4 linked regions of the Styela clava genome follow. The protein of the gene in region 1 purifies or fractionates together with the protein of each later gene. This does not show direct contact. Links are inferred from orthologs where the notes say so. Each region holds a gene or a part of one and is shown in the gene's direction. Other genes may lie near its edges. The genes, in order: F-box/WD repeat-containing protein 7-like, E3 ubiquitin-protein ligase RBX1, dolichol-phosphate mannosyltransferase subunit 1-like and transcriptional coactivator YAP1-A-like.

Evidence for each region.
Region 2: the proteins of F-box/WD repeat-containing protein 7-like (region 1) and E3 ubiquitin-protein ligase RBX1 purify together in Homo sapiens (affinity purification with western blotting; 8 studies listed by BioGRID and IntAct, with this or other methods). This does not show direct contact. The link is inferred for Styela clava from reciprocal best matches to the Homo sapiens genes FBXW7 and RBX1.
Region 3: the proteins of F-box/WD repeat-containing protein 7-like (region 1) and dolichol-phosphate mannosyltransferase subunit 1-like purify together in Homo sapiens (affinity purification with mass spectrometry, with the first as the bait; 3 studies listed by BioGRID). This does not show direct contact. The link is inferred for Styela clava from reciprocal best matches to the Homo sapiens genes FBXW7 and DPM1.
Region 4: the proteins of F-box/WD repeat-containing protein 7-like (region 1) and transcriptional coactivator YAP1-A-like purify together in Homo sapiens (affinity purification with western blotting; 4 studies listed by BioGRID). This does not show direct contact. The link is inferred for Styela clava from reciprocal best matches to the Homo sapiens genes FBXW7 and YAP1.

What each region holds. Positions count from the first base shown.
Region 1 is NC_135263.1:11,561,374-11,569,748, reverse strand, and holds the start of F-box/WD repeat-containing protein 7-like, read left to right. Parts: upstream 1-5,223; 5' UTR 5,224-5,415; coding exon 5,416-5,529; intron 5,530-6,209; coding exon 6,210-6,402; intron 6,403-8,375. Other genes in the region: uncharacterized protein LOC120340979, read left to right, coding at 1,076-2,571, 2,979-3,045, 3,358-3,374. UniProt on the Homo sapiens protein: Substrate recognition component of a SCF (SKP1-CUL1-F-box protein) E3 ubiquitin-protein ligase complex which mediates the ubiquitination and subsequent proteasomal degradation of target proteins.
Region 2 is NC_135252.1:17,433,868-17,442,179, reverse strand, and holds E3 ubiquitin-protein ligase RBX1, read left to right. Parts: upstream 1-5,029; 5' UTR 5,030-5,102; coding exon 5,103-5,219; intron 5,220-5,492; coding exon 5,493-5,533; intron 5,534-6,109; coding exon 6,110-6,170; intron 6,171-6,442; coding exon 6,443-6,649; intron 6,650-7,291; coding exon 7,292-7,342; 3' UTR 7,343-7,686; downstream 7,687-8,312. Other genes in the region: uncharacterized protein LOC120342750, read left to right, coding at 39-183. UniProt on the Homo sapiens protein: E3 ubiquitin ligase component of multiple cullin-RING-based E3 ubiquitin-protein ligase (CRLs) complexes which mediate the ubiquitination and subsequent proteasomal degradation of target proteins, including proteins involved in cell cycle progression, signal transduction, transcription and transcription-coupled nucleotide excision repair.
Region 3 is NC_135263.1:8,595,462-8,603,554, reverse strand, and holds dolichol-phosphate mannosyltransferase subunit 1-like, read left to right. Parts: upstream 1-4,633; 5' UTR 4,634-4,673; coding exon 4,674-4,774; intron 4,775-4,972; coding exon 4,973-5,072; intron 5,073-5,454; coding exon 5,455-5,565; intron 5,566-5,984; coding exon 5,985-6,010; intron 6,011-6,227; coding exon 6,228-6,323; intron 6,324-6,620; coding exon 6,621-6,804; intron 6,805-7,274; coding exon 7,275-7,379; 3' UTR 7,380-7,469; downstream 7,470-8,093. Other genes in the region: PSME3-interacting protein-like, read left to right, coding at 3,243-3,989. UniProt on the Homo sapiens protein: Transfers mannose from GDP-mannose to dolichol monophosphate to form dolichol phosphate mannose (Dol-P-Man) which is the mannosyl donor in pathways leading to N-glycosylation, glycosyl phosphatidylinositol membrane anchoring, and O-mannosylation of proteins; catalytic subunit of the dolichol-phosphate mannose (DPM) synthase complex.
Region 4 is NC_135257.1:9,974,494-9,982,419, forward strand, and holds the start of transcriptional coactivator YAP1-A-like, read left to right. Parts: upstream 1-4,783; 5' UTR 4,784-4,982; coding exon 4,983-5,638; intron 5,639-6,028; coding exon 6,029-6,170; intron 6,171-6,923; coding exon 6,924-7,044; intron 7,045-7,145; coding exon 7,146-7,204; intron 7,205-7,926. UniProt on the Homo sapiens protein: Transcriptional regulator with dual roles as a coactivator and corepressor. Critical downstream regulatory target in the Hippo signaling pathway, crucial for organ size control and tumor suppression by restricting proliferation and promoting apoptosis.

The sequences.
Region 1 (8,375 bases):
AAGAAACGTAGAGAGCATGAAAAAGAAAAGTGTATTCAAGTAGTAGAAAAATCTTATAGTGAACATTTAAAATCAAAAGATAGCAAAAGCTTAAAGGAGATGAGAGATGTATCTCCTTGTAAAAAAGTAAATAAAATTCGCAAATCCACAAGGGAAGATAAAGTTAAGAAGGTAGCCAATGATTTTCAGCATTCCACACAGAGTAATTCCAGGGCGCTAAACAAAACAGAAATATCTAGGAAGAATTTTTACTGTTCAAAGAGTACTCAAAAGTCAGCAGGGAGCATCATAACCAAACCCCAGCCTTTAATTCATAGTAGCAATGAGGGAGCAGTTTCGCCAATGATTGTGTCGCATCGTAAAGATCGTTTGAAGCGAAAGGATCGAATAAAAAAGAAGTCAAGTTTACTGCAGACTAAACCAATCCATGTGTTAGATAGTAAGACAGTTTACTGTGATTGATATTAGTTGATTTGTGTATCTCCTCGTCTAAAAGATTGCCTATTTTTTTATATTGACAAATGCCCTGAGGGAGAAAAATTTTGTTTTCTCGAAACTACTAAAATTGAGAGCAATCTAATTTCACATGCGAAATCAGTCTATGTCATGGGGGTTTGCTTTTTCATATTAGATTTGAATGTTTTATTAGCCCTCTTATGTGTTACTGGTGACTCACCATTATATATAATAGTCCCTAAGTTCAAATTTCTAGCACTTATTAGTTCTTGGTGCAAATGCACACACTGGCTTTATGTGAACCACAACATGTGTAATATTATGTCTGATGAATTTTAGAGTTGAAGAATTTCGGTTCAATTTTATTATTCATGCAATCATTTAGTTTTTAAATAATATGATGATTTCATATTGGTTTTTATTTAATTCACTTTGAATCACATAATGAATTGAGCAAATTGTGGCCTCAATTTCCTCACAGCTAATTTGCTCATAAATGCTATGTTATTTTTCAGCAATGCTAATTTCTACAATAAACTAAAAATGATTTGTTCTGAACTTTGGTCATTTGGTTCATTTTAACGTAATTTTTACTCTCTACTTTTATCCTCTATTCTAGCTGGAAGTTATAAAAAGGTACTTGGTTCTGCCAAAGACTCAAATAAAGCTGCTGATATCGCTTCTGGACAAAAATATGTCGGAACGTTAAATAACTCTGCTGGACAGAGTGACACAACTGCTAAGTCATTCAAGAAGCAGCTTATTTATGAAACAAATGACTCGAAAAATTATAAACCATCGGTTAATGCTGTTAGTTCCCGCAACTCAACAACATATAGCACAAATGATAAAATAAAAATTGGAAATTTGACATCAGGAGGTGGTTTTGAATTAGTAGCGTCGATAGAAAGTGAAAATTCTCCTACCTCAAGTCCACTCTCTACACAAAAGAAGGCACCCCCTTCAAATGAAAAAGTCTCCACTAGCAGCTGGAAAGCCTCTAATACAAGCTCAATTGTGAAGACAAAAATGCCTCCAGCAACAATGTTAAATCCTGGTTCAACTAAGAAGGTTGATAAAAAATTATACTCTGATAAGACTTTCAATCGTTCGTTTGATTCCTCATTTAGCTCTGCTGTTGATGTTCCACTTGCGATGAGCTCACAGGCTATGGAAAGTTATGCATCTGATATAATCAAATTTATGATGGATCAAAACCAACTGGCACATGCAAATCCAGTTTACCACGGATCCCCTGGTTTATCAAACTATGATGCTATTTCAAAAATATTGGGTCTCAGTCCTAATGACGTTTTGCCTAAAGGTGTTAAGAACTCCAAACAAGACGAAAAACTCAAATTTAAGATTTCATCCGCTGCTGTAACGCCCAGCAGTGCTTCAAAGGGTGGCTTCCCAAAATTAGATGTTGGTACTAAACGTGTAGCTACAGCAATTGGGCCTTCTTGGTCTTCTCAAAATCCCACACCCCCTAAAATATCGAAACCTGACAAAGTGCCCTCAATAGCAAAGCAGAAAGTATGTCCACCAACGTCAACAGCGCCTGTGTATTCTGTGACATTCGATGATAAGCATGCCATAAAAAATCTCACAATGAGACCGATACCAAACTTTGCTGTGCCGTCTATATCTAGTTCAAACTTTTCTGGCCAGCGATCGCGTTCTAACCAGCACCACTCTATTGAGAAATCCACTGTGTCTCCCAATACCCCAAATTTTAAAATTGCACAATCAGCCATAGATAATTTAGCAAACATACATAACGTTCCACCAATGTCTCCTACTTTTCCGCAAAATACGAAACGGAGTTCCTCAACTCCTTGTTCTGTTCCAATACCCAAACTTCAATATTCACCATCTGGTGCGTCTAATATTAAATTGGAATCAATCCGTGGTGGGTTCAATCCAATGTTACTTTCGTCAATGGCTAGCTCTTTCAATCCAAACACAAACTCGTTTTCTACTGCTTACTCGTCTTCGTCAAACCTTTCTAATTCTGCTGCATCGAAGCTCAAAACAATGCCAGTCAGTTCTGCTCGAAATTTTCCAGAAAATTATTCAATGACTGACCCACAGTTTTCAAAATCATTTCCATTGGTAAGTTTTCTAAATTAATTTTCTGTTTAAAGAATACTGTGTGTATTAATTTGTATATCCATCAATTTAAAATACCTAAACATTTCAATAATTATGATATCCCAGTTTCAATGTTTTACAAAGTTAAGTTTCATAGAATAAGTGTGTTGATTTAGACATAATGACACACGCCTGATAGATCTAACGAAGGTAACAGTAGTAAAATTTTGAGTTCTACTTCTATTGATTATACCAGCATAATGCTCTGGTAAGAATTTGAAACTTGATTTAAAATAATATATATTAATGCATCTTTGCTTCTGAAGCTCATATTCAATCTAGTTACCAGCCCCCAATCTAATTCCTCTTAATTGTACTTTAAAATAAACTTCAAGTGTTAACATATAACTTATCCACTACAATTTTAGGTCAACCTTGTTGATATTCAGGGGAACGATTCAGTTAAGCAAGCAGCATTGAATCTGAATATTAAAGGTAGGTATTCTAGGAATCCATCGTTTTGGTACGGTAAATGGTACTCATACAGGAGTACGAGTCTAAGATGTAAAGGAACATGCAATACAAATTCTTTTATTTTGAATTAATTTCTGGGGTTCAACTACGTACCAATTTTCAATAATTTACGTTAAATGAAATATCTGGAGTGTCTGACTTGAGCTATCAAATTAATGTTGGCTAGCTTGGTAATTAGGCGTTTAGTATTTCACATTACTCTATCAAATAATCCAAAGTGTCACGAACCGAGTAAACAATTTCAATCTTAACAGTGAGCTTCATTTGTTTCAGCAAACCAGAACAGATGAGAGAGTGGGCATGTTTTTTATAGTCATTCATTATACATCAACTATCTGGTTGTGTGGAGAGTTCAAAGAATCATATCTGCAGTTTCTGACCTGTTTTTCAGCATTTCATGTGTAATTTTTTTATGTACACCATGATATTTCACCTGAAGTTTGAAATTATAGGGAATTTTATGGGTTCTCGTACCTAGTAGTCTGCTTTAACCAGTTTAAAACTGACATCAACAACTCATTTTGTATCTTTTCACATTGTGTGTTATCATCGTCTGGTCATTTTATATTTTTTACAAGGTCATTATTCATTCTCCATTAATAAATATGAATAAAGGAATATGTTCTGCTTTCCAATCTTTTTCTGAATGTTAACACTCTCTCAAATGTTTACACACAAAATGAAATGAATATTTTGCAGTTTGTCGAAAAAGTCTTTGCTTCCTTGAGTATAAAAATATACTTTCATCTATGTTGCAATTAAAGATAAAAAGTATAGTTTTTTCAGCAGTCTAGGTATAGCAATTTGATAATATTGATGCTGGCTGATCTCTTGCCTATTATTTAAACTTTACAAGGCAATTTGATAATCCAATAATGCATTCTAGTCATTTCTATCTATTCAAAGTGTAGAAATTTACTTGGTACACTGCTCTGTCCGAAAGTGAAGTGATCATATTCAATCGTAAACTGGTGCTACTCAATTTTGAGCTTTTTGACTTGAGGAAAGTTTGGAAAGGAATACTTTTCTGTCTTGAAATAATGTTATCTTCAGATTAAAGCTGCTAGTTATTTTGCAATAAAACATTGTCTATTCTGATGTGTTTATATAATTTAGTTAAGGAATGGTGTAAAGTGAAAACGTCTTTACACTGGTTCAGCTTGTGTCTGCTGATGTATAGCATAAAAATAAATATGACTATTTGAGACAGGTTTGCTATTTTAAGATCTGATTTTCGTGTTGACCACGAGGAAAAGATGTCTCTTAACTTCATGCATACCACGGCTTGTGGATTTTCTATTATAAACATTCTACTGTAGGGGTTATATTCAAAATGTGAAGCGCGGGTCGGTGGAAGCATCGAAGTCCTCACTGGTGGTGGGAGTCCCAAACAATACATTTCAGGCATATATATCCCAGCTAAAGTTCATCTCTGGTCGACCGTTTTAGATGTGCATCGGTGATATTTTTGATAGAACATGAATAGCCTTTACAACAGACATCCGTAATGTATGTAATCCCACCGTTTCTGCAATATAGTAGCGTGTCCTGTAGATGGCAGTAAGGATGAGCATTGGTCAAGCAGTTCGCCACCACTGCACCGAGACCTGAAATAGGTGTCTGATTTTATTCACTTGTTGATTTGTGTGATTGCTTGGTGTAGTGATGTTATCATCTGTATGGTGAGTGCTGTTACAGAGTTTCACGTCTGTTAAATCTGTGAATAGGCACATTTTCACGGATATAGACTACCTATAGGTTATTTATTTACTGACCAGTTGGAAAAAATACACTTGACTTTACATAAAAACTTAGACAACATCAGCAGTCTGGAATCAGAGATTTAGAAATTTTGACTGGTGTGATGGCGCGATTTAGTTCAGTAGGAGGGGATTAGTCTACGGTTTTTATTCCAATTAACATCTAGATAAATCCAATTCACAACAGCACAATGTTTTTACCAAATCACCTCCTAAAAAGATTTCAGTCTTTTGCAGAACAGCCTGATAAAATTTAGGTTACCTGGGTTATAGGTAATCTGAATGTCAGCATTATTCCGGTATTGTTTTCATTTATTAAAACTTCCATGGCTTTACAAATGTATTAATTTTAATTGGACTAGTTTAACTCAAAAGTGTTTGCATCTATTTTCAGACCATTACTGCAGTATAGTCTGATAGTGCCAATCCTAAAACTTCTCCATAAATACAGTAATTTGAACAGTTCTCTGCTATTGACGTCTGTAACTAAAAGAAATGTACCACTTTGGAAACTAATTGTGTTTAGACCTTGATTCTAACCACTGAACCAACTTTCTGACAACTCAACTTAATGGAGTTCGATGAGGAAGCTGTCGATATTAATACTGCGTCAGTCGATGAATTTGTGACTAGGTTGAAGGGAGTTGGACGATCTAAAGCTCGAGCTATTGTTCGATTCAGAACAGTGAGTATTTCTGTATTTATTAAAATATAAATCACATGAATACTGGAATAAGAATGGCTGATTAATAACAAAATTATTACACTATTAATGGTACAAAAAATTTTCAATAGTAATATGAAAAATATATTTTATATATTGCAGATTTAACCATAAACCTCGAAGCTTTTGTGGTTTTATGATAATTCAACCTTTATAAAATTGCTATAGTATGTATGAATTTAGAATGTTTTAAATCTAAATAAAATGTCGAAGTTTTCTTCAGTCTGAGTATACTGTCAGTGTCAGCTATATCTAGAATTAGTCAAACATGCTTCAAGTCCACGCAAGTGTGCCTGCGTTAAATTGGTTAGCCTAACCATTTTATTTAAAAAATTATGTCTCATACCGAGTGACAAATTTTAAAATGTGATTTGATTGCAAGCCAGCTTGCATCAAAGTCATTGTCTTTTTCTGAGAATTGTGTGACCAAGCAAATGCAAGAAAGATTTGGCTACATGAAGCGCCAAAACAATTCACCCAACCATTTCCATTCCTACTCATTTTTCAGCGATTAAAAATCAAATCACTTCGATAGCCTTTGTCCCTTTTTTGTTTCGATTGTAAAAATTGATCAATTCTTATACCGCTATAGTAAATTTTTAACATTGTGACAGAAATATGATCTTTTATTTTTGTATTAGACTGTTGGAAAGTTCAAGAAGTTGTGTGAATTGACTGATGTTCCTGGAATCACACAATGTATTCTAGAAAGAAATCAAGGTGTATTACTCTGTGTATCAAGTAGAGCGAGCGAAATCAAGGCTTTACACGAGCTAAGTGATGACGAACCCCTTGAGGAAGGAGATTTATCCGTATCGGAGTTGATGTTAGCAGGTACAGTATGATTATTGAAGTCTTTCAAAACTTTCAATCTCAAACTTTATTCGACTTTAAACCTGAATTTCACAACATTCAATATTATCCTAAATTAATTCCGAATTGTTTCTCTTCGACATAATTTTATTACATTATTTCTATTGATATTGGACATTTCAGGAACAAAATGAGTTGTTGGTAAATGAGTATGTAAATGTAAAAATGAGTTACATTGTAAATCAACCCAAAAAATTTTTTTTTTGGTATTTTCCCAATTTGTCATTCTGTGTGCTCAAACATCAAGTCCTAGAAATTCCATCCACATCCTGAGAAGGGATGGACAGTTAACGGCCTGTGGGTCACATTCGACATGCCAAAGCATTTTGTACGGCGCGCTTGCTCTTGGAGTAATTTTTCACTAATATATACAAAATTTAGATGTGCTTTTTTGGAATATCCAAACTATGAATAGTTAAAAAAAATGTTAATTTTTTTTGTTTATTCCTGTTTCAACAATGGCAGCTGTATTAAATTTTAACTGAAGGTAAATATATGGTACATTTCTCAATGCGGCCCTCTGCATCAAAAACTTTGTCCATCCCTCTGCCCTAGGATGCATTCTGATATTGGAATTACATCCATACCTTGGAATCGAACGAGTCGATACTTGAATAATTCAGTTGCCGAGCAAAAATATCTAGTCAAAAATTCCTGGATATCAAACGGAAACTCAGTGCCCGAACACCGATCGCACCTCCGAGTGAGATGACGTCACCCGAACACGCATTTCAGCTGCCTCTTGACCATTTAACAAGAGAGCAATGCTCAAATATATGGGCACTAAGGCCATAATGAAGTAGTATGTGTATGTACAGTATCTGTCACGATAAACACCCGGTAAGGCAATCTTCACGACTATCGTGAAAGCGGAACCTACTCAAGGTGCGCTCAATTTTTGATGACGTCATCGCATACAAAAAACGAACCCTATAGAGCCCCAGTATATTAACTGATACAAAATTTTTTGTTTAATTCTTATTTTGTACACATTTAAATAAATATTGTTCTACGTTCGTTTTGTTAATATTTTTGGTATTTCGGAATGCGTAAGAACGATTAAAAATAATTACCATTGTTTCTTATGGCAAAAAATTTTCGATACTCGAACAAATCGATATTCGAACATCACTCCTGAACGAATTATGTTCCACTACAGAATTATCACTGTACAAGAATGTGTTCTATTTCGAAATTTGGCAAAGTCCGATTCTATCTGATGAATATGAATATTTAGGTTTTGTTCGAATTATTTTGGGAGGTTGGCCGTGGCCAAGTCTGATTCTATCTGGTGAATTTGAGAAAATTATGATAAATTTTGTTATTATCCATTCAAATATGAATATTCAGGTTTTGTTCATTATACAACTCATGTAATTTAAATCAAAATTATGTAAACAGCATTACAACAATATGCAAATTCGTTTTTGCATCGCTTATAAGGTTTCCTTTAATTACCAAGTCTCAAGTTTTTTTTCCATAAATATATTAAAAATGATAAATGGTTGGGTAAAGATTGATCATTGGCCGGTAGCTATTACTTTTTTGGCCATTTTGATTTATATTGCACATATATACGTGGTTAATAATTGAAAATCCCTATTTCTGCTTTTAATGTATAAATGTTCAAATTGACCGAAAAACATGGTCATTGATATACAATAGTTCCACTTAGCTTGTGTTACATAGCATTCTTGAACCTTTCGTTTGAACAAATTAAAGATCAGTTCATTGCAGCAACATCATAAAAGGCGTTGAATTTTAACAAATAATCCCATTGGGAATGTTCATCATTCAAAACAGGTTACGGTTGTATTACATACTAGTACACAACATGTTTCTCATACTTAGCTTAGCGGTTATGTTTTGTATATTGCCAATGCAATGATAAAATGCTTTTAGGCTGTTTAGAAAACGATTTTATATGACAGCTA
Region 2 (8,312 bases), on another chromosome or scaffold:
GTTAGTTAGAGGAGTATTGTTTCCATCCATAATTTCAGACAACTTCAGTCAGGAATGCATGACGATGAACAGAATTCGCCGCTAACGAATGAGGTGCTGGAAAATCGCTTCTCGAAGCTTATATCTCGAAGGTCAGAATATCACCGAAGAGCATACGAAAATGAGAAACAACAGTTGTTGTAGACGCCTAGAAAAAATCCATGTCAGGATTTCAAATTGTGAATTTTGCCGTCTGAAAATATGCTTAAACAAGGTCATAGGTAACCTTATTGTGACTGGAGAAACTTGCTCAAAAACTACGCTAAAGTTATGTTTAACAAGTGATTGGATTTAGAATAACCCGTTGTCGTATTTTTATGTTCTAGACCAGGGGTGCGCAAACTGTTGCTCGTGGGCCAAATTCGGCCCGCAAGGAAATATTGGGCGGGACGCGCCAATTTTGAATAATCTGCTCGTTTTTAGTTTAGTTAATCTTGTAAAAAAGCCAATACCAGCACCAGAGTGTCGCTGTCAAAATCCTGTTTCTCACTGAATTCGTTTAAAGTCGGTGTGACAATAAATTGAATAGCGGTTTTCTTCAGAAATTTATGCATTTTTCTGTTATTTTCAATTTATTTTATATAGGTAATTATTGTGCATTTAGTATTGTAAGAGACAAACAAAATTTTAATATGATGCAGAGATGTATTCGAATTTAATAAAATTTGGCGATAACTGAGATCATGATTTTGTTTAAAAAAAATCTATTTTAACACATTAAAATAAAATTTATATACCTAGGCAAGAACCTTTTATGTAATTAATTCAACACTGAAAACTATTCAAATACGGACATACACAGTATTATTGATTATATAGAATGGAGTTCCATAGCTTTACACACCTATTTATTTTATTTGTATGCAATCATATGCCTTATATATGTCATGTGAGATTACAGTGCCTCTTATTGGAGGTATACATGTTGTTTAAAAAGCTGCTCAGCCTATGTTTTTGCCATTTATCACATTGTAAATTCTTTTATTGCATTATGCCAGAAGAGATTACTCATTTTGTAGAATGATATCAACTGTTTTTATTGCTATGCATCAAACTCTTGTTTACAACACTTAAACCAGAAATTCTCCATTTTCTTTTTGCACGATTAGTTTTGTGTTATATTTCTAGCTTGTTCTTTTTATTATGCAATATCCCTCCTATATTCAGACCAGTGATGACTACGTCTATTCTTGTCGTTTCTTGCAAGAATAAAAACAAGTAAGCCATACTTTCCTGTAATGCTCTTTTAACATCAGAAAATCCTAGTACCAGCAGTTTCATTGTTTTGAGATTCTAGCAGCAAACAGGGTATTCGTAAATCACTGATATTCGATTATGAGGAATTTGATTAGTGGGGGTAGGAAGTGCGGCAATAATTGTGTGATTTGTTGGTGCGGATGTGGTCAATATGGACTTACCTAATCTGACAAACGGTACTCCCGTAGTATGGGTAACAGGTTAGGGCATATTATTTCAATTTTCCTTATTATGAGTTCGGGGACAGTACCTACCCCCTTCCCTGCCCACAGTCCCTTTACACAACTTGATGTAAAATAGGCGAACAAAATTAGTTACCTCCATATTGGTGCACAAACTTCTGGAGTGCCTGGCAATCTATACCTGTGGTGACTTGAGTAATTGTTTGAACCAAAAAAGCACTTTTTAAATTTAAAACTGAGTAATTCTAACTAACTGAAACTGTGGAGTCACAGATTTATTTTTTCAAAAATCAATATCCCATTATGATTTCATTTAGTATAACGGTGAAGACTTACGATGAAATATATTGTATTTCATGTAGAGGATCAGTCAAACAACACTATTGCACAACTACAATATATATATATATAATATGTTTTTCACAATTTAGCTGATAATATTCCCAATTGAACCAAAAACGACAACAAAATACCTATAGCGTGCTGTGACCTTCTCAGCACAGCATCAAAAATAAGTAAACACAGAAGGACAAGACTCCTATTTTATCATGTACACCAAAGGAATCGTATGTTACATAATGCCCTTCTTCAAATAACTAAAAATACCACTCAAACGGTTAGTAAGTAGCACAATCATATAATAAGTACATGAAAGCCATCACTGAAAGACCACATTAACATTAACAGTCTTCATCAGTATAGTAAACATGTCGAGTTTACAAATAATACCGCAATTGGAGAAGTACAGGGAAAATAATCCAAAGCATTAATGGAGTTTAGACAACTTTATAAAAAGCATATCCTTAATAATAGGCATCACAATTATCTGGCTGGAAATCAGGATGAGTTAAAAATTGATGGATATAAATTATCCAGCAAAGCAACAAATGCGCTGAAAAACTTAATAATCTTTCATGATAATTATAATCATCAGTTCGTAAGAGGTCATCAATTGTTTTTTACTTTTGGAGCTATGCAATTCTAATATCTTACACACACAAAGTACTAAAATATAGCACATTATATTTGTTTCTCATAAATACATTGAAGCAGTCCAAAATACATATAGCATATCATCGAACGGTGTATGTTTGAAGAGATCTATTGACTCGCCATTGCCACAAGCTGAAGAAGAAGACGCCCACGTAAATACCAGCAGCGATATAACAGTTCTTGGCTGCATCTTCATACGCAGCGTATACAAATGTTTGATTATTAATCTGTGTAGAATTCATAGCAATATCTGGATAGAGCGCAGGACTTTTGATTTGGAAAAATACACCCATTAAGCCGAGCATGATGACGGCCCATATACTTATTAAGTTGCAGCATACCGAACATTTTGGTCCAAGAATCTTGCAAGGCATTATTCCTATTCAAAATCTTTTAGCAATAATCCAAAATGCACAATTCAGCCTGTCAGTGAGCACACGATTCCAAATATAACTCAATATTTTTTTGAATGTTGAAATGTAATCACTCTAAAAGAAACAAAACAACAAATGGATAAACAAAATTCAGAGGACCTGGAGGACGGGCATAATTTAATAAAATATTAAAAAACGTATAAGTACCGAACTTGCCTGTCCACCAAAAACAGTTAAAAGAACACAATAAAATGTAACGATGACACAATGTGAAATCGGGCAATGCCTTTAAAATCAATTTTAAAATGTGAGACAATGATCAAGAGAAGATCATGGCAATGCGGTACTTCATACAAACTAGAATTCAGAAGAGAAAAAAAATTGTGGCTGCGGTTCTTATGTCAGTATGTGGTGAATACAGTAAAAATGGATTGTTCAGTGAAATTTTATTACGGTACCGGTACATAACAAACATAAATCACAAGAAAATGAACTATGTATGTGAGAAAGTGGCATGCATAGACTTGCTACAACAGACAGAATCGTTACAGCAGACTCGAAAAATTAGAACTGTCTACGCTCCCTAAAGCAATAGGCATTTAACTTCTTATTTGCAAAACTTCAAGTCAATAAAGAAATTGTTATTTGATTCGCTAATCTACACTTATCACACTAGAATTTTTGTGCTACCGGTATAACTTATAAATTCTGTGCCACATAGATACGCAGATACCGAAACCTGGAAAGGTAGCAACCTCTGAACCTAGACAATTAAACAGATGAGAACCTAAAACCTGAAAACCGCATTATAAATTCGCCACCAATATTCCAGTATTTCGAGCATTCACAGATACAAGTTTACACTTTTATCAGCTACCGTACTTGTACATCAATACGACAGCGCGAAATATGCCACCCTACCCAGTTTGAATATGTACAAACATGAAAAGCGACGACATTCAACAAATGCAATAACGATCGCAAACGAAAACATCGATCCGAAGCGGAAGCGTCATGTGACAAATCAGAAAAAGCTTATGACTTTTGCAAAAACGCTTTGCGCGACATGTTGCATTTTGCGCGAATCACTTTATGTTGGATGTCTAAAAGAAAATATTTACGGGAAAGAACTTTTACGATATTTCTGCGTTTACGCGGAAACTAAATAAAACTTAAATCTCAGGAAGAGCGTCCATTGAGTTTTTTGATCAATATACAAAACCGTAAATATATAACAAACAACAAGCAATCTGTCCGACTGGAGAGGGGGTTTAAAGAGAGAGAGAGTTTATTTCATTTTGTTGAACCCTATTAATATTTATTTACGGTCAAACAAAAAAAAAATTATGCATATAAATTATAATCAGAAGCCCGAGTTGGATCATAAATCAGAGTTTGGTTTACACAATACATTTTTCTGGTACAAGGCCATTCGTGCAAATATTGCAGTAAATTGTAGTCTTCGTATAAATGTCTTATAAAAGAGTCAATATAAACTCATGGGAAATGAATTGAAAAATCAACTAAGGTAATGAAAAAACCATACAATAATAGTAATAATAACCAAATATAAAAAAAAATAGAGAGCCTATGTGCAAATAAATATTGGGTAGCAGATGAAGCAGAGCCATTATATAACGGCTCTGGATGAAGTATCATAAATGCAATATAAAATGAAATTTTGGTTGTATGTATGTATGTATGTATGTTTATTTGCCTCAAAAATGTAACAGTATCTGCATAATAATTAAACAGTAAAACAGAGACGGGATACATGTTCAAGACCTTACTGGTCTAAGACACAGATGTGCGACATGTACCCCTAACAATGATAACAGCAATTTCAGAGTTTAGGACTGCTGCGTTATACTAGGGCAACATACATGAAACTGACTATACAAATAAAACTCTAGTAAAATACAGAGTACAATACGATATGTAGAGCAGCAAAGTGATATGTGGAGCAGCAAAGTACAATTACGCAATATCTGAGAGGGCGGATCTATCTACGGATATAAACAAGAATGTCTATGCATGGAGTAACTTCCATCCGTGCAAATCTGAACTGGTTGTGGTGCGTTGACGACCGTTTCCTCGTCGTACAGATGAATATACAGATATAAGTTTACTAGTCGTAAACTTTGACTCCATGCAGCACTAGCGATTTACAAAGGAAGTTATCAAAATCAAAGCCCATATACACCTGATCAAAGTCAACCTACTGACCTAAGTGCCGGGTGGGGTGGCTAGTACTTCAATGATACCCTGTACTCGGTTTGTGGCAGTCTTTTTCTGCCATAGGGTACTGGTACCGTGCAACATCAAAACGATTTGCAGAAGTTTCATCTACGGAGTTTTCGGACAACGAGTCGACGTAAGACTGACGGTTTGACTTATCCCTGTATACAGGTATTTTTGGAGCTGTTTGAAAAAAATACGCAATATACAAAAAAAGGGAAATGGGGGAGTTAACTTTAATTACAGTATGGTCGTATCACTTCCTCCTGTCTATACTAGTATACCGTACTCTGATACAGTACGGTACTAAACTAATTTATTATGGTACATATGGTATTATATTATTACTAATTTATTATTATGGTACTTTTTATTTTTGACGAAAAATAAAATCTCTTTCTCTCACAAGATTTACAGACATTGCGGATCACGACACCAACATTTCAATCGGTGAGGGTGGAGGCAAACTTGAATGTTCTAGCACAAACAACAGACACTATTCTAGAATTTAAACATGTGCATTTGATGTAAAATTTATTCGAAAATGTGTATTTTTATGACCATAAAATCTATGACTTAATTGTGTTTCACCCATTTTGCCATTTCTTTTTTATACGTCTTAGTTCGTCGTCGTCCATATGCTCAATTTCAGAGCAATCGTTGTGACTCTATTCCGACTCTTTACTGTAAATCTCTCATAATTTATTTTTCATGATAATTTACACTAGGCAAATGAACAGCTTGTGAGGGGTTTTATTTTATTATATCAATTTTTTTATTCATGTTCAGTGTTGATGCTGTTTGTAGAAATAAATCTCTCTCTCTCTTAGGCTATAAGGAGTAACCTATGCTTTGAAGCAAACAGTCAAACTGGTGATCACATATTCAGAAAATATGATAAGTTTGGTCATCTCAACATAATAGAATTGTATTGATGATGTACTATAATATTTTTTGATAACGATTACATTTATTTTTTGTTGCTATTAGTTAGTTAAATCTTGATTAGTATTCAATATCACACAGAAAAATGGAAGTTGATCAGCCATCATCTAGTAGTTCCATTCCTGCCAAGAAACGTTTTGAGGTAATTATAAATATATAACCTACCATTCAATCTTCACTAATTTTATTATTATTGCGGGATTGACCCAAAAAAACGGAAGTTACCATAAAATTTTAATTACTCTACAAAAAAATATTCCAAGACTTGTAACTTCTATCGGGGTATGTTTCCGTAGCTCAGTACAAAAATGATGTTCTGACTAGTATATTTTTCAAATAACCAGTGATCTTGTTTTCTGGGTCACTCTGTACTCAACAATAAGTGTGTCATTATTAACGGTTTACTTTATTAAGGTGAAAAAATGGAATGCCGTTGCCCTTTGGGCTTGGGATATTGTGGTCGACAACTGTGCTATCTGTAGGAATCATATTATGGATTTATGTATTGAATGTCAAGCTAACCAGACATCAGCGACTTCGGATGAGTGTACAGTTGCCTGGGGTGTCTGCAATCATGCTTTTCATTTCCATTGTATTTCTCGTTGGCTGAAAACTAGACAGGTGTGAAATGATACTTTTTCTCTGTATTCATATAATGATGAATATTTTAGATTGTTGTAATTTTCAAATGTGATGTCAAATTTTTTTATGGCTTTTATATATTTTTCATTGCAGGTTGGAAAAACAAATACCGGGATATTTGGATTTTCATTCACCATGTTATTTTTTTTTTTCCTAAAAAATTTTTCACACAATATTGCCATAGGGATTGTTTTAATGCTACTTCAAAATATGTCATTCAACAATGTCTTTAGCGCAAATTTCGAGTTATTGTCTTTATCTGCAGATTGTTCATTAAATTTATTATAATGCTTTTTTCAAAAGAGTATTTAGGGAGATTGTGTTGAATGGCCAATAAATTAGTGGGAAGATGACACATGACTGAAACCTCTTTATGGTATCATCCGCTAAAAATGGCCTACTCATCACATTGTCTGCCATCTATATAATTTAAATCAATTTGACTTTGCAATCCCTGGGTGTAAAAATTGTATTATTATTAACAATACAATCCAGTTACTGCAAAATCACGATGTCCTTTGGAATATTATGTGAAGAATTAATATTAATTTTTTTGAAATATTTCTAAAATTTGTTATTTCTTAGATTTTTGACAATTAACCACTCCCATTTTATTTTCAGGTTTGTCCGCTTGATAATCGGGAATGGGAATTTCAGAAGTATGGGAGATAAACTGATTTGATATTTGCTGTTCCTTCCTATTCATACCTTTGTTCAGTGAGCGTTACATGCCTTTTTATTGCTATATTGTTATGGATGTCATTCCATGTACAATATTATTATTCCACTAAACTTCAAAGAAAGAGGGTTTTTGAAACATTACAGAACTCTCCATTGTACACATTTTATAAAACTCAAAATATTATAACTTGTGATCTCTGTGTTAATGTCGTTTTCCTGTACTCAATTCTTTTTGGTGTGTGGGCAATATGGGATCCGGCATTTAATGGTTATTAGCAGTGAAGCTATGCTCTATTTTTACCACTCTGTGTAGAATAAAAAAAATTTGTCCGTTATGTATATTCCTTAAAATTTTTAGGCATTACTTAGTAAAATAGATTAGTGCAGTGGTTGTAAACCACCAAGAATTGAGATATTTGCCTATGTGGTCTAATTTCATAGAATGAAAAATGAGGCGACTAGCTAAATCAGCCGACATACAGTGTCGGCCATAAACGAATACGGGACTATTCTAAATACAAACAATACCAAATGCAAAAATATTTCTTAATCTGGAATTCAGACTGCATTCCAAAATTTGACAACCCCCAAATTTTATTCTGTTTCTCGAATAACAACCACATAGGAATTAAGCCACAGTGATCTTATGATAGTAAAGCGGATATAAATAATAAAAAATGGCATGTCCAATGATGATTTCAAAGTTTCTGAGAATTCAGATTCAGATATTTATTTTCGTCATGCAAAAAAACAATGCGCGATATGAAAAATGAATAAATAATATAATGTAACAAAATGTCAAATGGATATCGGCTTGTTGCAGTTGACGCGGAGTCGCGAAAAGACTCATAGAGTCATCTAGTCAGCGACACCTTGTAGCTGAAATTAAGCAGCAAATATAAGAAACGGGACACTCAATATTACACATTAACTTAATAAATTAACACGATCATACAAAAAG
Region 3 (8,093 bases), about 3.0 Mb from region 1:
TATTTCTGCATTTCACAAAATTCTGAAGCACACTGTTTAATTTGTCATATTTACATCAATACAATGAAAAAACACAATAAGCTCAGCAGTCAATATGACAAATTCGATGACCAACTCCGAACAGAAAATTTCCATGTGTTTTTATATTAATATAATTATACAACGACTTAGTTACTAAAAATCAATATCGATGATAATGCAAGCAATCCTATGCCACGCAATGTGGCACGAAATGTCTTGTCGAAAAAATCTGTCATTTGTTTTTTTTTACTGATCTATACATGGTATGATAAAAGTAACTTTTTTGCATTACTGGAATTAATTAAACATTCGCAAAGATCCAGATTAACCCATGATCATGTGACCTCGTTAGTTAGAGTTGGTAATACAAAATCATATCAGCCTGGCCTTAGTATGCTGGTGACACAAAAAAGATGCCAAACGTCAGGACAAATGTAATTAAAAAAACATTGAGTTTATACTGTAGTATTTTTGTTAATTTTAGGTCCATATATTTAGATTAAGTCATTTTTTTTAGTGTATGTATTATTCTTTCCTTATCCAAAGCTTGTTCAAAAATGATTTTGATGGCTGTACATATAATTTTATGATTTTTTGTAATAAATACAGTGCAATAATAGTGGAATGCAAATATTAATATGTAATTGCGTTTGAAATTAAAGAAAATAATAAAACTTAATCCAACTGTTTAGTTGCATCCCAATATATGTCACAAACTAAAACTATCTTGAAAATATCTTTTAAGTAGACATTATCAAAAACTGTTTGCGGCCCTTTTTACAATTTCCAACATGCAATGCGGCTCTCGAAAACCCATGAGTTTGACACCACCCATCTATTCTAGAGTCTAGACGATTAAAGCATTGCTTTGGGAAATAATATCACTTCAATTGAATTGAAAAAAAATCTCGCTATATTAATTACAAAATCGTTGCTATCATAAAGGTAAACCAATTCAGCAACTCGGAATATATTGGCCTTCACAAAGCAATGGAGGCAAAATTCTATGAACTTTTGTTCTTTTCTTTGTCTTGAACTTTTCATACTCCACAGCCCCTATTAATTTTTTTTTAATTTTAATTATCATGTGATGGTCATACATATCTTTAACTTGTATTTTCTGTCATGGTGTATTATCTCAATGTGTCAAACTTTTAATAAGTGTGCATATTTTGCTTCCAGATGACATAAATGTATTGCCTTGTTTATTACCTCAGCTTGGAGTATTGACAAGAAAAGGGTGCCAGTAAATTACGTAAATTTTTTTTTAACTCTCTGTTATAATCAGTACTCACAATTAATAGGAATTGTAAACAGCCAACGTTCAATGAGAATTATATGCGAAACCCCTCAGAATAAATTTGTCTTCTAAAATCGGAGGAAGGCAAAACATATAGTTAGTTTCCATTCACACAAGTCTTTCAAGATGACTTGTTCGAACCAAAATAAATGAGCATCGTCAGGTGATCGGTAAGGCTGCAAGTTAAATCAGCCCTGCAACCTTCTGCATAGAAGATAATATTAAATAGTGGGCTATGAGCGAAATTCCTAAGTTTAGACACATACCTATCTACGAGGCATTATGTACCAGCAATGTTACCTATGATTAACTAAATATGTAATATGTCTCATAAATTCACCAACTAAAGCAAGTTCGATAGGTGCAAACTTTGTGTTATGGAATTGTATCGCCGTTAAGAGAAGTATAAACAGTTTTACTGTTTTGTATGACACCCTCTTTAAATGAAATTTCAATGTTTAAACGCAAACATTAAAATTACTAACTTTGAACTTTGTCATTATCTGCAAAATGTCCCACACAAATCTTCACGCTATCGCGTTTGTAATCTTCTATGATAAAAAAAAACGTCTATGATGTCCAGAATTACTCTTTACAGCTTGTCTGCCATTCCAGCTTTCCAAATGAGCAAAACTTCTTAGATATAGAGATTATTTTCTTTTGTTACAGGCGCAAAAAGGCTGGTACTACACGTAAAGAAGACGCCGAGTAGCAGAAGCGAGCGGAAAACGGCCGCGAAAGGCGACGAGAAATATGTGCATTGGAGCGTATCATGAAATACAATCTTTCGCATGTAGTCTTATGGAGTGACGTCAGAGTTGCCTATCATGTTGTTTAATGTCATTGTTCAGTGGAATTAGTGATGTAACGTGTCAAAAGATTTTTCTGGTTCTTTTTTATCATGAAACAACACCAAATGCGACTTTTTGTTTACCCTCTCGCAAATGCGACGCGGGCCACATGTGGCCCGCGGGCTTGGGTTTTGACCACCCTGAACTATACCATACTACTGTACTGTACTAGTGTCAGTCTGATTGACTATCGTACCGGCACCGATCGTACCGTATCATCATGGTTAACTGAATATTCAGTTAACCATGGTATCATCCAGCTGCAATATGTAAAGTTTGTAGGATAAAAATGTTTTTCGATAACATCTCATCCTCACCGCCTCTAGCAGTGTAGGATAATATATCATCCTCTTCACTTCACTCATCACGGGTCTCGTGTAGTTTCGTACCTAACGTACTTCTAGTAGGCGTAGCGTAACAATTTTTTGACATGCCAATCCTAACCCTCACCTGACTACGCCATCCAAAAATTACGTCACTACGACGTCACAGTGACGTAATAGAGCCCTTCAAACTATGCGAACTGTCATCCAAGACGCGAAGACGAGAATCCCAAATCGAACAGCCATTTCTCTCGTTTTCTCGTCGCAACGATCCCGATAGGAGAGAGGTCGCTGACGTCAGTCAGTTCTTTATCGTCGGCGCCGATGCTATTTCGGGCGATCGTACGAGTATTTGGCAAGCTCTATGACGTGATTGTGACGTCGTAGTGACGTAATTTTTGGATGGCGTAGTCAGGCGAGGGTTAGGATTGGCATGTCAAAAAATTGTTATGCTACGCCTACTAGAAGTACGTTAGGTACGAAACTACACGAGACCCGTGTGCGACCTATTGCATTTAGGCTATTGTTTTCCAGTTATTGCAATTGCTGCTTACGAATGCATATTTTTCATTCAATTTGTTTAATGAATACCGATGTTTATTGGTCTATGTGCAAACATTTTACCGTATGGTTTTAGATACATTCTGTAATTGAGCGCATCAACTAACGTTAATGATACGTTTTTAGCCGGATAAAATATTTCAATATTCATTTAATCCACTAATCTGTTTCATCTGCTGACTCACAATGAGTTCTGGTATTAAAAGCTTTGTATCTGAAAAACAGTTGGAAGAAAAGAGGAAAGTTCGACAGGAAGAATGGGAAAAATTAAGAAAACCTGAAGACCCTGTTGAGGCACCAGAAGAAGTTCATGACAGCAGATCATTGTTTGAACGATTGCAAGAGCAAAAAGACAAAAAACAAGATGAGTTTGAAGAACAATTAAAGTTTAAAAATCAATTCCGAGGGATAGATCAAGATGAATCTAATTTTCTTTCTGATGTCTCAAAGAGAAACTTTGAACTTGACAAACAGAAACGGGATGAAGAAAAAAGAGAACTTGAAGACTTTCGAACTGCCGTAGCTCAGTCAAGAGAACTTCCAAATGTGCCAATAGATTCTTCAACAAGAGCGGAGGACAAAAAAGAGTTGCCAAAAAAATCACAGGTTGTCAGAAAAAATCCACAACAAAGCATATTGAAAAATGCTGTAAAACGAAAAGTACCAAGTTCTCAAACTTCTAATAAAGAGCAGACAAACCCATGTCCACCAGAGAAAATTCAAAAATCCGAAACTGAATCAAACAATGCTGATAAGAACCTTACACAAACAATAGTTTATCCATCAGCAACTAAGCTTGTTGGTGTATTACCTGGTTTAGCAGCATATAGTGATGATAAAAGTGAAGAAGAATCGGAAAGTGATAGCTCTTCTGATGATTCTGGTTCTGTATCAAATAATTTATTATCTTCTATTGTTCATAAGTCTCGATGACTTCATTTTTTGCTCTTTTTTTTCAAATTCGCACATAGAGTTGTACTAGTTACTTCATGTCAACTCTTAACTTGTACCTAAGTTAATGAAAATTTTTCCAGCTGTGTTGTGTCAACGACTTTGGAAATTTTCTGTTAATGCCGCTAGCCCACATACTCACAGGGTTAGGGTCTCCACCTTCTTTTGTTGCAATTCATTGTTCAAAATTTCAATCATGTCTATTTCGTTGTTTACAAATTTCTGTACAACCCCATAGTTATGAACATTTAATTTTCTCTTCGATTTATTTAATGTTTGGCTGAGATGGCCAAGAATGTTATACCTAACTAGCATATCTGGTTGAATAAATATTGTAATAAATTGGGTAGGCAATACCAAACTGGGTTCTTTGAAAAATAGTTCCCTGTGTGTGACTGACTGTGTGAAATGCCCGTATTATTATAAAAAAACGCTTCCTCTGGCATGTCTGATATTTTCCTTTTTTTAATGAATGTTATTAAATTATGAAGGTATTTGAGGTCACCTGAATACAAAATCTCAGTTTTTAAAATTATTGTACCTGATGACAATTATCATTTATTGGCATGTTGCATTTTAGGCTAACGCTTGTTTAATCTGTGGTGTTTGTGTTCTATGAATAAATCTGCACTTTTTGTTTTTTCTTAATAGGTATATTTAAGAATTATGGGGTCAAAAAATAAATATTCAGTTTTGTTACCAACTTATAATGAAAGGGAAAATTTGCCATTAATTATCTGGCTATTGATGAAATATTTCAAAGAAATGTGAGTTTTCGATTTTAATATATATGTATCTTATCATATTCAATTATTCCAATATAAAGTATGAGCAAATAAACAGTAGAATTTTAAACTATTGATAGATGGTTATCTAAAATATGGATTCTGTAATATTTCCTCCCAGTTATCTGAGCCATTTTTTTTCACATTGATTTCGAAGTTAAAGATTGTTAAATATTTCAGAGGTTGTGATCATGAAATTATCATCATTGATGATGGGAGTCCAGATGGTACATTAGATGTCGCCAAACAGTTGCAGGATATATACGGAGAAGATAAAATCGTATGTTATTTTATAAAAACCTCAATAAATAAAAATTGATATCGTATGTTCTGATTTCATGCAAATTATTTCATTTAAAATACTGTAATTTTTGTCAATATTCAAATTTATACTTCTATATTTACGTTTTGAAAGCATGCTATAAAGATCACAAAGCGAATTTAATATCATTTTATTCTAATTTTGAAGGAAACTTCTTGAGCATTTCAAGTTGGGCAAAATATTATGCTAAGTTTAAGTTTTACATCTTGATTTTATATGATTACTGTGAAAATGATACATACATACATTCAAGAGCAGGCGATCTAGAAGCCAGTGGCTGGAAGTTCTAATCGTTCAAGCCCTAATAAATTGAATAAAAAGCCCTAATAAATTCATTCAGGTTTTGCGCCCAAGAGCAAAGAAACTGGGTCTTGGAACAGCATACATTCATGGAATTAAGCATGCAACAGGCAATTTTATTTTCATAATGGATGCAGACCTTTCACATCACGTGAGTAGAGTATGGTTTTAGTTGCCATTGTATAGTTGTGCAGCAGGTTTCTCAAATGTACTATTCACATTTGATTTGTACTGGTCGATCGGCTATCATCCACTTTTGGTGGTTGTTTCTATAATTTAATGTTCAGATTTTAGAAGTATTAAATATTTATCCGATCAGAAATACACAAAGCAATGAATAAATATTTTTTGTTAATGAGGTCAACAGTCATTTCTTAATCGTGAGGCATGTTTCTGTAATCTTTATATGCTTGTTAGCTCATTTCAGCAATCACTGTTGCAATTCCTTTGCAGTTTATTTGTTATTTGATTAGCCATGTAAAAGTATTACTAATTGTTGTCTTACACCCGTTTATGTATCTAAACTATTATGATACTGCTTCATTACTAGCATATGTCTTCTTTGTTTAGCCAAAGTTTATTCCAGAATACATTAAGTGAGTATTAGTATCATATATGTGTTTCTATCCTACAATAGTTTAATAAGCTCATCAGTATCAACCATTTGTAAGATTATGAACTCTTTTGTGATTACAATACAAGGAATATGACCTATTTTCACATTTGTGCGTACTCACATGTTGACACATCTAAGTTGTATGGTTTAAATATGAACATATTTTTTTGGTTCAACACATTTACTTTGTTTGCCAGAAAACAAGAAGATGGGGACTGTGATGTTGTATCAGGTACTCGATATATTGGAGAAGGCGGTGTTTACGGATGGGACTGGAAGAGAAAGCTAGTTAGGTAATTTAATTATGGATTAATATTTTTTTTTATTACACCCTAAATTTTATGTGAAAAGATGAATATAACATGATTGCCCTAGAATGCTAGATGATGTATGACTGTGTCAAATATTTTGAACAAGTAGTACATGAACAACAATACATAACATTCTAACGATGTTTTGTTTATAGCAATCAATGCAAGTTGCAACATAATTCTTTGCAAGATTGTTACATGGCTAATACTGCTTGAACGTGGTTATTTTTTATGTGATTTAAAAAATTGGAGATTTCTGTATAGCTTTAAATTTTTCAGTCGGACTGCCAACTATATCACTCAAGTCTTGCTACGTCCTGGAGTATCTGATCTGACTGGAAGTTTCAGACTGTATAAAAAAGATGTCTTGGAAAAGCTGATCTCGTCTTGTATTTCTAAAGGATATGTTTTTCAAATGGAAATGATAATTCGGGCAAGACAGTTTGACCTGAAGATTGGAGAGGTAAAGTCTTAATTGTTGCTTGTCATATCATCAATAGGTAACTGACAACAGGGACCGAAAGTAAGATATTAGGGGTTGCAGCAAGCATCCACACTCTTGCATTGGCATGGCAGTCACTTGCGCTTCAACCATGCACTTGCGTTATATTTAATGCTTGTCTGGACCATAGACAAGTCTCAATGAAATCAAGACTGTACAAGTAACAACTGGTTGTGTAACAACGATCAAAAAATTCTCTTCATAAATATATGTACAGTAGGTTGAAACTAGAAATTTATCATATTGGATTTTAATGTTCGAAACTTGTAACAGTTTTTGTGTGTCAGTCTTTTGATACATTTGTAAAAGTCATGATTGATGATAGAAATATTAATTTATTGGTGGGTGTTTCAATTCATGGGTGATATAAGGATATGGCCATTGGCCAGTATTGTTGGGAATTTATCAAAAATATCATATTTCACTTCCAGGTTCCAATCACATTTGTTGATAGATTCTATGGTGAATCAAAGCTTGGAGGAACTGAGATAATCCAATTTGCAAAGGGTCTGTTGTACTTGTTTGCAACAACGTAACATTATAAATCTTTTTATGTATATATACAATAACCTTCTAGCTGCTTTTTTCAAATTTTTCATTGCAATAAGCTTGTGTCATTCCTCCGATATTTTCTGTATTTGATCATGATTTTCAGTTTGTAGTGTTATTATCTTGGCCGAGATATGCCATTAGGTAGAAGCGGTAGAGCTGATTGAACATTATGCAGGTTCAGAAGTTTTCACTCTTTATATTCTATGGAGTATGGAGCTTTCTTTAATACCAATTTATATCATAAATCAAATTAGTCATAATTAGCGAAGTCGTTTTATGTCAATGGTTTATTTTAACATCTTTAAATGATTTTGAGCAATTAATACGATCAAAGGGCGTCAAACTCCAACTTCCAATGCAGCCATCGAATGCTTACCAAAAATCGTAATATTTTGAAATTTTTTATCTAAATGTAATACATTTTTTAAAATTTTCCAAAGTGAAATTGATTATTTACACGGAAATTGACAATTTACTGAAAGTAGTTTTGGAAAATTGAGGTTTTTTTTGTTTTCAATTCGACCCAATTTTGAATACACCTCAATCTAGGAAAAGAATACTTGTGAAAAAAAACACTTCAGGGATTAAATGAAACGCAAAGTACATGAATAAGGTGACATTTTTGAAGAAAAATGGGAATTGCAATATTTCTACATTTCTCAAAATTCTAAAGCACATTGTTAAATTTGTCAGATTTC
Region 4 (7,926 bases), on another chromosome or scaffold:
CTTCGGTCTTATTGCTTTTTCTCTTCCTGGAATAAATATGGTCTTATTCGTCTTATTTAATTGTGGAGCATCGGTGTGAATTTTGGTCTATTTTAAAGCTCTAAAAATTACCTATCCCCGTATACAATAATACCTTACATTGAAAAGATGCAAAGTGTGTCATACCGGTGTCACAGATATATTAGTTGCATGCGTGCCATGAATCGGTGAATTTTCTCTGCTCCGACTGAGGGATGGACAATTTCACTTATCGGTAAAGTCGTATCACAGTAATCCAGGGTTACCTAAACGGTAAATTTTCAGAAACTTCCTGAGCTTTTTACACAATAATCATCATGAACTTTATTACATCGCAATCAGTAATTGGAGTAGTATGGTAACATACATATGAAGATACATTAGTTTATGTCCACCGATAGGTGATGTATTGTGCAACATTCTGGAAAGATTGCAATTTTACCAATTCCACTTTGTTTATATAGTACTGTTCGGTAATTAGTCACACTGAAACTACGGGAAATTTCTGTTTTGGGATAAATTATCGTTTCTATTAAAATACTGGAACAATCCTTTTCAACCTGTCAGCAGTTAAGAAATTGGAATCTTGAAAATGATATTAAGTTTAAAATTTTTCACGTTTTTTCTTTTTATATATATAGATTTCATAATTTTACTATTAAACTTTGACACCATTTAGATTTTCTCTCATCAATTTCAGAAAACGAGTATTCAACGATCGTTATTAGAAATGGATGTATATAAAATGTATATAGTAAACCAAAGTAATTTTTTCTGATAGGGAATTTAAAAACTTTCATTTGTAATAAGTGTGCCGCGAATTTTTTATTTCGTTGTTAGTATGACGCAAGCTGAATTGGGAACGCCTGCGTAATCTAATTAGTACGGTAGTTTACCTGTAGTGGAAGACCAAATCATAATATCATGAACTCCATCAAATCTGGAGTCGACCAACACATTGCCTCCCAAAACATTTCTGAAGAATTATGATAAAGCTGTGGGCCACCAGGTCTATTAAAACTAAAAAAAAAATGTGGATAGTAATTTGTGAAATCATTGTAAAATGATCGAAGAAATTTGTAATACGTAAGAGGTAATTTGTAATTACGTTTGAACCTAATGCGTTACATTTGTACTGATCATTGCCTTCAATTATAAATCAATTTATATTCAACAACAACATATGATGATGAATTAACAAAACATCTCTGAGGTTTTCTAAAACTGTTTAATTAGTTTTGAATGTTTTTCAAGACTGTTTAATATCTATCACAGGGTAAATATTTATTCTGATATATTTCAACATATTTGATATTGTGAACATCATACTTTTTAATTTTTTATCTTTGTAAATTGGAATTGTGGCCTAGAAAAAAAATTCCATAATCATTCAGGCTTGTCTGACATTAACATTCACTTGACTTCGACGCAGGCTGTGCAAAACTTTTTTGCTGCCCGTGGCAAGTTTCTGATAAAGATACCCCTATTCCCATAATTCTGGGACCGAACAAATTATAGTAATTGTTATGCATGAGACTAAATAAATTAAAGGTCAACTAAGATAGAAACGTTTGTTTTTATTAAATTAATCATCAAACTAAGCAACAAACATTTCCATTTCGGAAAAGCGACGTAACAGTAGACGTTTTAGTAGCCACATACACAGATTTTCTGGCATGGTTGTTAACCATACCTCGTTTTTGCATGCTATTCGTTTTTCGTTATGTTTCGCAAATTTCAGTACAAACTCAATGATTATTGCGACTTATTATAGTTTAATTGCTGCTAATCAAAAATTAGTCTAAAACTAGTCTTGACAGACTAGGCTCAACTTTTCTACCGGTATTTTTAAATAACAGGGTTGCATATTTTGAATTAAAATGTTTGTTTGAAACATGTAAACCAGTTTAAGGCGAAACCATCATTAAAAGCACCAAAAATGTTGCAACTGTAGAATATATGAGTGATTTTTCTGGGGTCAGTGGTCGGGAAAACATCTATTGTTGACTCACCATCACCACAGTCAGTCACTCACATATTGTCAGCTTTTAATTCAATAAAAACACATCGAGAAAAACATGTGTAATAACGCAAACTCTACCGCTCGGTTCTGCTGTCCTCTAGAACAGGGGTGTCAAACTCATGGGTATTCGAGGGCAGCATTGCATTTTGGGAATTGTGCAAAGGGCCGCAAACACACTTTGATATATTTTGATAATGTATACTTAAAGCATATTTTAGATAGGTGTAGTTTGTGACATATATATATATATATGTGAAGTAATTAAACAACCGAATGAAGTTTTTTTATTTTCCTAAATTTCAAATGCCATTTGCATATTATTTTCATGCATTTCACTATTATTGCAATTTACTGTATTTATTACAAAAAATCATAAACTTTACTTTCACAGATTGTTTTGAAGCAGGTTTTTTGCTGATTTAGCTGTACTTGCTGTAACTGCAACAGTTTCATGGTTCGAAGTTGATCTTTAAATTTAGTCATATTGAATGCTGTTCTTATTCTGATTATGTCTACTTCTATTGTATTTTTTCATTATACTGATGGAAAAGTGACGAATTGGACAATGATTTCAAAATTTTGAGAAATAACAATTATTGTTAAGCGTTCAAGAGCCGCATTGAAATTTCTATGGGGCCACATGCGGCCCGCGGGCCGCAAGTTTGACCCACCTGGTCTAGAACGTGCTACCTGGGACGACTGCCCCTTTCGCCCCCTCTAGGCACGCAACTGCCCCGATGTCATCAACTTGATCAGTTTCTGAAGTATTGTAGACTTACTTTTTTCTTTATACTTGAATTGATTCAAGTTTTTATCGTTTTTTCATTACTTTGCTGAAAACAGCGGGACATGATGGGCAATATTATTCGACGGGTAGAGCTTTCATATTGATTTATATTTACTTGTTTGTGGTAATGTTGTTATGTGAAATAAAATTTCAAGGTAAGATGATTTTGCATTTCCATTTCTTTCTTTTTATATATGACTTGCCTTATCTTTTCATCGTTTCTTCACTTTACCGTTACTATAAATATGAATGCTTGAAAAAAGTTATGCGCAGCGCATCACAATCCACGATGAATTTCATCGGGTTTGCCAACTGACACCAGCTAAAAGATATTATTCGAACTCTAGAACTTTAATATTCATTATGGTGTTGGTGTAAATGTTGTTTTGTGAAAAAAATCTCTTTTTAAATTATATGGTGTGGAATTATACCCGCCAACGCTAGTGGCGCAGGACATTGGGGGAGGCGACATTTACATTTGACGATTGGCTTATACTGTTATAGATGTCTTGTTTGTGACGGAAAAGTGTTGCCGATTTCGATGTCTTTTCGTAAACATGTTTAGTTGCTGGCTACCTATTCACTGACTCTTCTTACAGTCTGATTTCGTTTAAGGTGTTGTGTTGTAGTGACATAATTTAGCCAGGTGAGGGTTAGAAATGACATAGGCTATGCGAAAATCTGAAAATGGTTACGCCATGCCAAATACCTGACTGCTGACTACCGTACCACCGTACGGTACGGTACTGAACTAGAAGTACCGGTACTTGACGTCGTTTAGTGAACTAGCCCTTGATTTTCACTCACATTGGGATTAGTTTAAATATAATAACATACGGTACCGTAACATTAGGAATAGCTAAATAATGCTGTAATGTCTGAATGTTATATTTAGTTATCTGTTTATAAATTCTGTCAAAAACACTTGTCAATCCTTATGCAGAACCACCATAAGATGACGTGTGATAAAAATTTTTTAGAATATCAATCAGGTTCCTGCTGTAAATAAAAAAAATCTCCACTGTGATAAGCTCTGTGGTTCAGTGGTTGGTGCACATGCACCATGCCAAGCGTTAGGACTACATTGATAGGCTCTAATCCCATGGCAGCATGGCCGATAATTCAGTAATTACTGGATTATGGTATGTGCAAGACAAATAGAACGAAGAAATGGGGAGAATATTGAGCCAATATACCCTATTTTAGTTATATCTAGTTTATTATTGAAAGTGCAAAGTTTATTTTCTTTCAATTCTGAACCTATAATGCTAGTTTATATGAAAATAGTAGCATTCAGAGAATAATTTCAACATTAATATCCAAATGTGATGGTTTCCTGACATATATGCCTGTGAGCATGATTTACCAATGCTAATGGTCACTGCTATTATTGTTAAACAAAAGCAAATTTTCTCATGCAAATTAAATACAAATGGCTTACCTTTGGTTAATAACCTGGTTTAGAGACAATTGTCAGTACTTAAAGTTACTACTTACCGTACTATCAGTTTTTTTGTTCGAATCGAATTTGAGGTCTTTTTATGTGACATGAAGGAGTTAAATTTATTATCATTAGAATTATTGCTGTGATATCTTGCAATGGGCAATACATGTGTAAGCAATATTAAGCAGTGAATAGAGCAATAATCAACCTAAAACATGTATAGGCCTATCCAACATACATAACCGAGGTGCAGTATATACTATCAGCTTTTTGTAGTGGCACATATAAGAAATTTTATGTTTATTTTGATGTTTAATTTTAATTTATAGTAAAAACTTATTGCTTTTTCCAAGGTATTTTATGATATATAGCAATAATAGTCTGTTTAGATGAGATTTTTCTAATGTGCAAAATATACCTTTAGCATTGGACCATTCTCCTATTTTTATTCATATATTGGTTCTGGAACACATTCCAAAACTCATGTAATAAAATCCCTATGTTGTTTTCAGCTACAATAGTTCAGAATACAAATACTGAAATAGATGAAACCAAGTTTATCGTTTCACATATCACTACTTCCCTGGTGAATTCTGAGGCTAAAACAATTTTTTTTTTATCAACATTGAACTCAAGTTCAGTCCAAAGTTGAGAGAATTTTATTCTTCCTAGCTTTTAATAATCCTAGTTTAAAACAGTTGACTTTTGATATGTCTATGTCTAATATGGAGGAAGAGGAAAATGACCCTGAAATACAAACTACTATTACACAAGGTCATTCCGGCCATAGTCAGATCCTTCATGTCCGTCAGGATTCTGCAAATGAGTTGGATCAATTATTCAATGTTGCTTTGGATCCTAATAAAAAGACAAAATCCCTTCCCATGAAGTATAGGAAACTTCCCAAGTCATTTTTTCAGCAACCGGATAGACCACGTCATGTGCCGATGCATGCACACTCTCGTTCAATGGGTGGGCTAGTTTCAACACCAGTCAATCACTCACGGAGCTCCAGTACAGATTCAAGTGCATCTCATCAATCCGGTTTAAATTTATCTTCGAATAATCTTCCACAGCAGTCTCAAACACACATGAATAATAATATTGGACCCCGATCTGGAAACTTTACCCCAGGTCCAATGCAACACTCACCCTTCCAAAATTCGCCAAGTCACCTTGCCTTGCAACAACCACAAATCGCGCACTCCCGATCCAAGTCATCACCTGCAAGTTTGCAAATAGCCAACGCAAATATGCAGATGAAAATTCAGCAACCTAGTAATCATATTGAAATACCACCTGATATGCCATTACCACAGGGATGGGAATTCGCGAGAACTCAGGACGGTCAAACTTATTTCATGAAGTATGTAAATAAGTTAATTTTTACTTTTTTTTACAAGAAATACCCTTTTTCATTTTTATGAAGTAATTTTCAAATTTCTAGGTGCTTTTAAGATACTTATAATAGTCCAATATAATAGTCCAATTGAGGAAACAATGCACTTCTAACACATCCTGCTGTCACTTGTTAATTAAACGAACAAGTCTGAAGAACTGCACTTCATGAATCTAACATGGTTTTGGAACATAATATAGTCTGTTTCTAATTTTAGTTGTTGGTGTGATAAGTATAAATCTTATAATACGGTTCTTGCAAGTTATTATAGTACCAGTACTGAGTGCTTCGTGTGATATAAATTTATAAGTCTTCAACTCTGCCAGTACATTGATTTGTTTTATAATCACTTTTCAGTCACACAAACAGAACTACTACCTGGGTTGACCCACGAATTGACGTAATAAAAGAGCAACAAGAAAGAGTTAATGCCAATAACATGCAAGCAGTCAACCATCAACAGTCTCAGATGCATATTAATAGTGTACAACAGCCTGAGGTATCACATTTTTTTACATCATTTATTCTTTGCTGTGCAGACATAAATCGTATATCGAGTTGGAGATTATGGCTGTTTTAATTACATCTTTGCTCCATGCGTTTTACAGCATCAGCTTGTATTTTGCTTGCATGATTTGGTAAGATCTGACAATATATCGGTGTAAGTGATTGCATATTGCATCATTGCTATAAAAACTTAAGCCTCGGAAGTTGGAACGTTCTTCTCTAGTTGTTAACAATAATATAATGTAATATCATTTACTAATAAATTGAATTGAATGATTGAATCAATGTATTTTTTGGTGTTATTTTATCAACAATATTATCGTGCAACAATAATCATATCTAGAATAGCATAACCGAGTCATAATTTGAAATTTAGTGTGGCCTTCGCATTACCAGAAATTTGTGTATTTGACCCAGTATTACCGCTGCTCTAAAATACATGATAGTAGCTTAATTAGTTCAATCAATCAAATCGTTTTTTATTAGCAATGCCGGTAAAGCATAACAAAATGGAAACAAGAAAGATCACAAAATATTTAAACCAAATGGTAGGATAACCGTGAAATGACTATTCGGTCTACTTGTCAGCGGCAACCTTAAAATAGCTTAAATAAAAGTTATGGCTACAAAATTTGCACAGCGCTAAACGTTTTTATGCGAGAACAGCATCGCCCCAAGATGACGCTGAAAGGCAGTAATACACCTTGTTATTTATAAAACTAATCAATGGCTATAAACATTTCAGCAATTAGTTGTGCAGCAACCTCTTCCGAGTGGTTGGGAACAAGCAACTACACCACAGGGTGAAATATACTTCATAAATCATGAAACACGGACCACTAGCTGGTTAGACCCAAGACTTCAAGGTTCCTTTTTTTTAATATTTCCATGCAAATTATCATTTGCTTTTTATACAATATCAAATTTTTATCCTTTTTTCCTATTATTCTATTTGCATCAATTGTAGGCATGAATCTAGGTGGTCAGTCACAGATGAATGCACAGATACAACAGCAGCTTCATAAGGTAACAATTGAACTGTAATAATTTTTTTGTGAATACCCCTCGTTCAACTGTGATCTAAATGTATTGCTGTTTCCAGTCCCACAGTAAAAAGTCCTAGTTTGTTATATGACTTTTTGTTAATGAGATGTTGGGTAGTGTTGCTTAACACTGTATTAACAATATCTATTTCCCAATTTTTCCTTTTTCAATGTGACTAAAATATATCATGACAAGAGGAGGACAATTGTTAGACTATAGAATATCCATTATTAAGCAGTTATTCCAATGTCTGTAGTCTGTCGTACGAAATGTTTTGTGCAGAATTTTTTTGTAAATAAAGAAGTATTGTTCTAATTACGGCATTGTTTTAATAGTACCGAACAACAGTATTGGGCTCTAACAAGTGGTTTTCCCCAAATAATGATGATTGAACACTTCATATAATGTTTGCTTTACTCATCTCAGAAGAAATTTTTATAATCGGCAATGAAGTAAATCAAATTGTTTTGAGCTTAAATATTCTTTTATTTGAAATTTGCATCCTCAGTTTTTTTTGTCTTTTGTCATGACTTTCAAAACAATGCGTTTTCATTGGTTTGTTTCATAGTTATTTTAATTATATAAAAATTTAGACATGAACTTCTGGAATTTTTTGAGTTTGATATGCTCGAATGTGGTCACCAAATTCAGCTGAACAATTCTGTAGGGTTCAATGGAGGCTGAAAAAGTCGTGCTGGACCTCA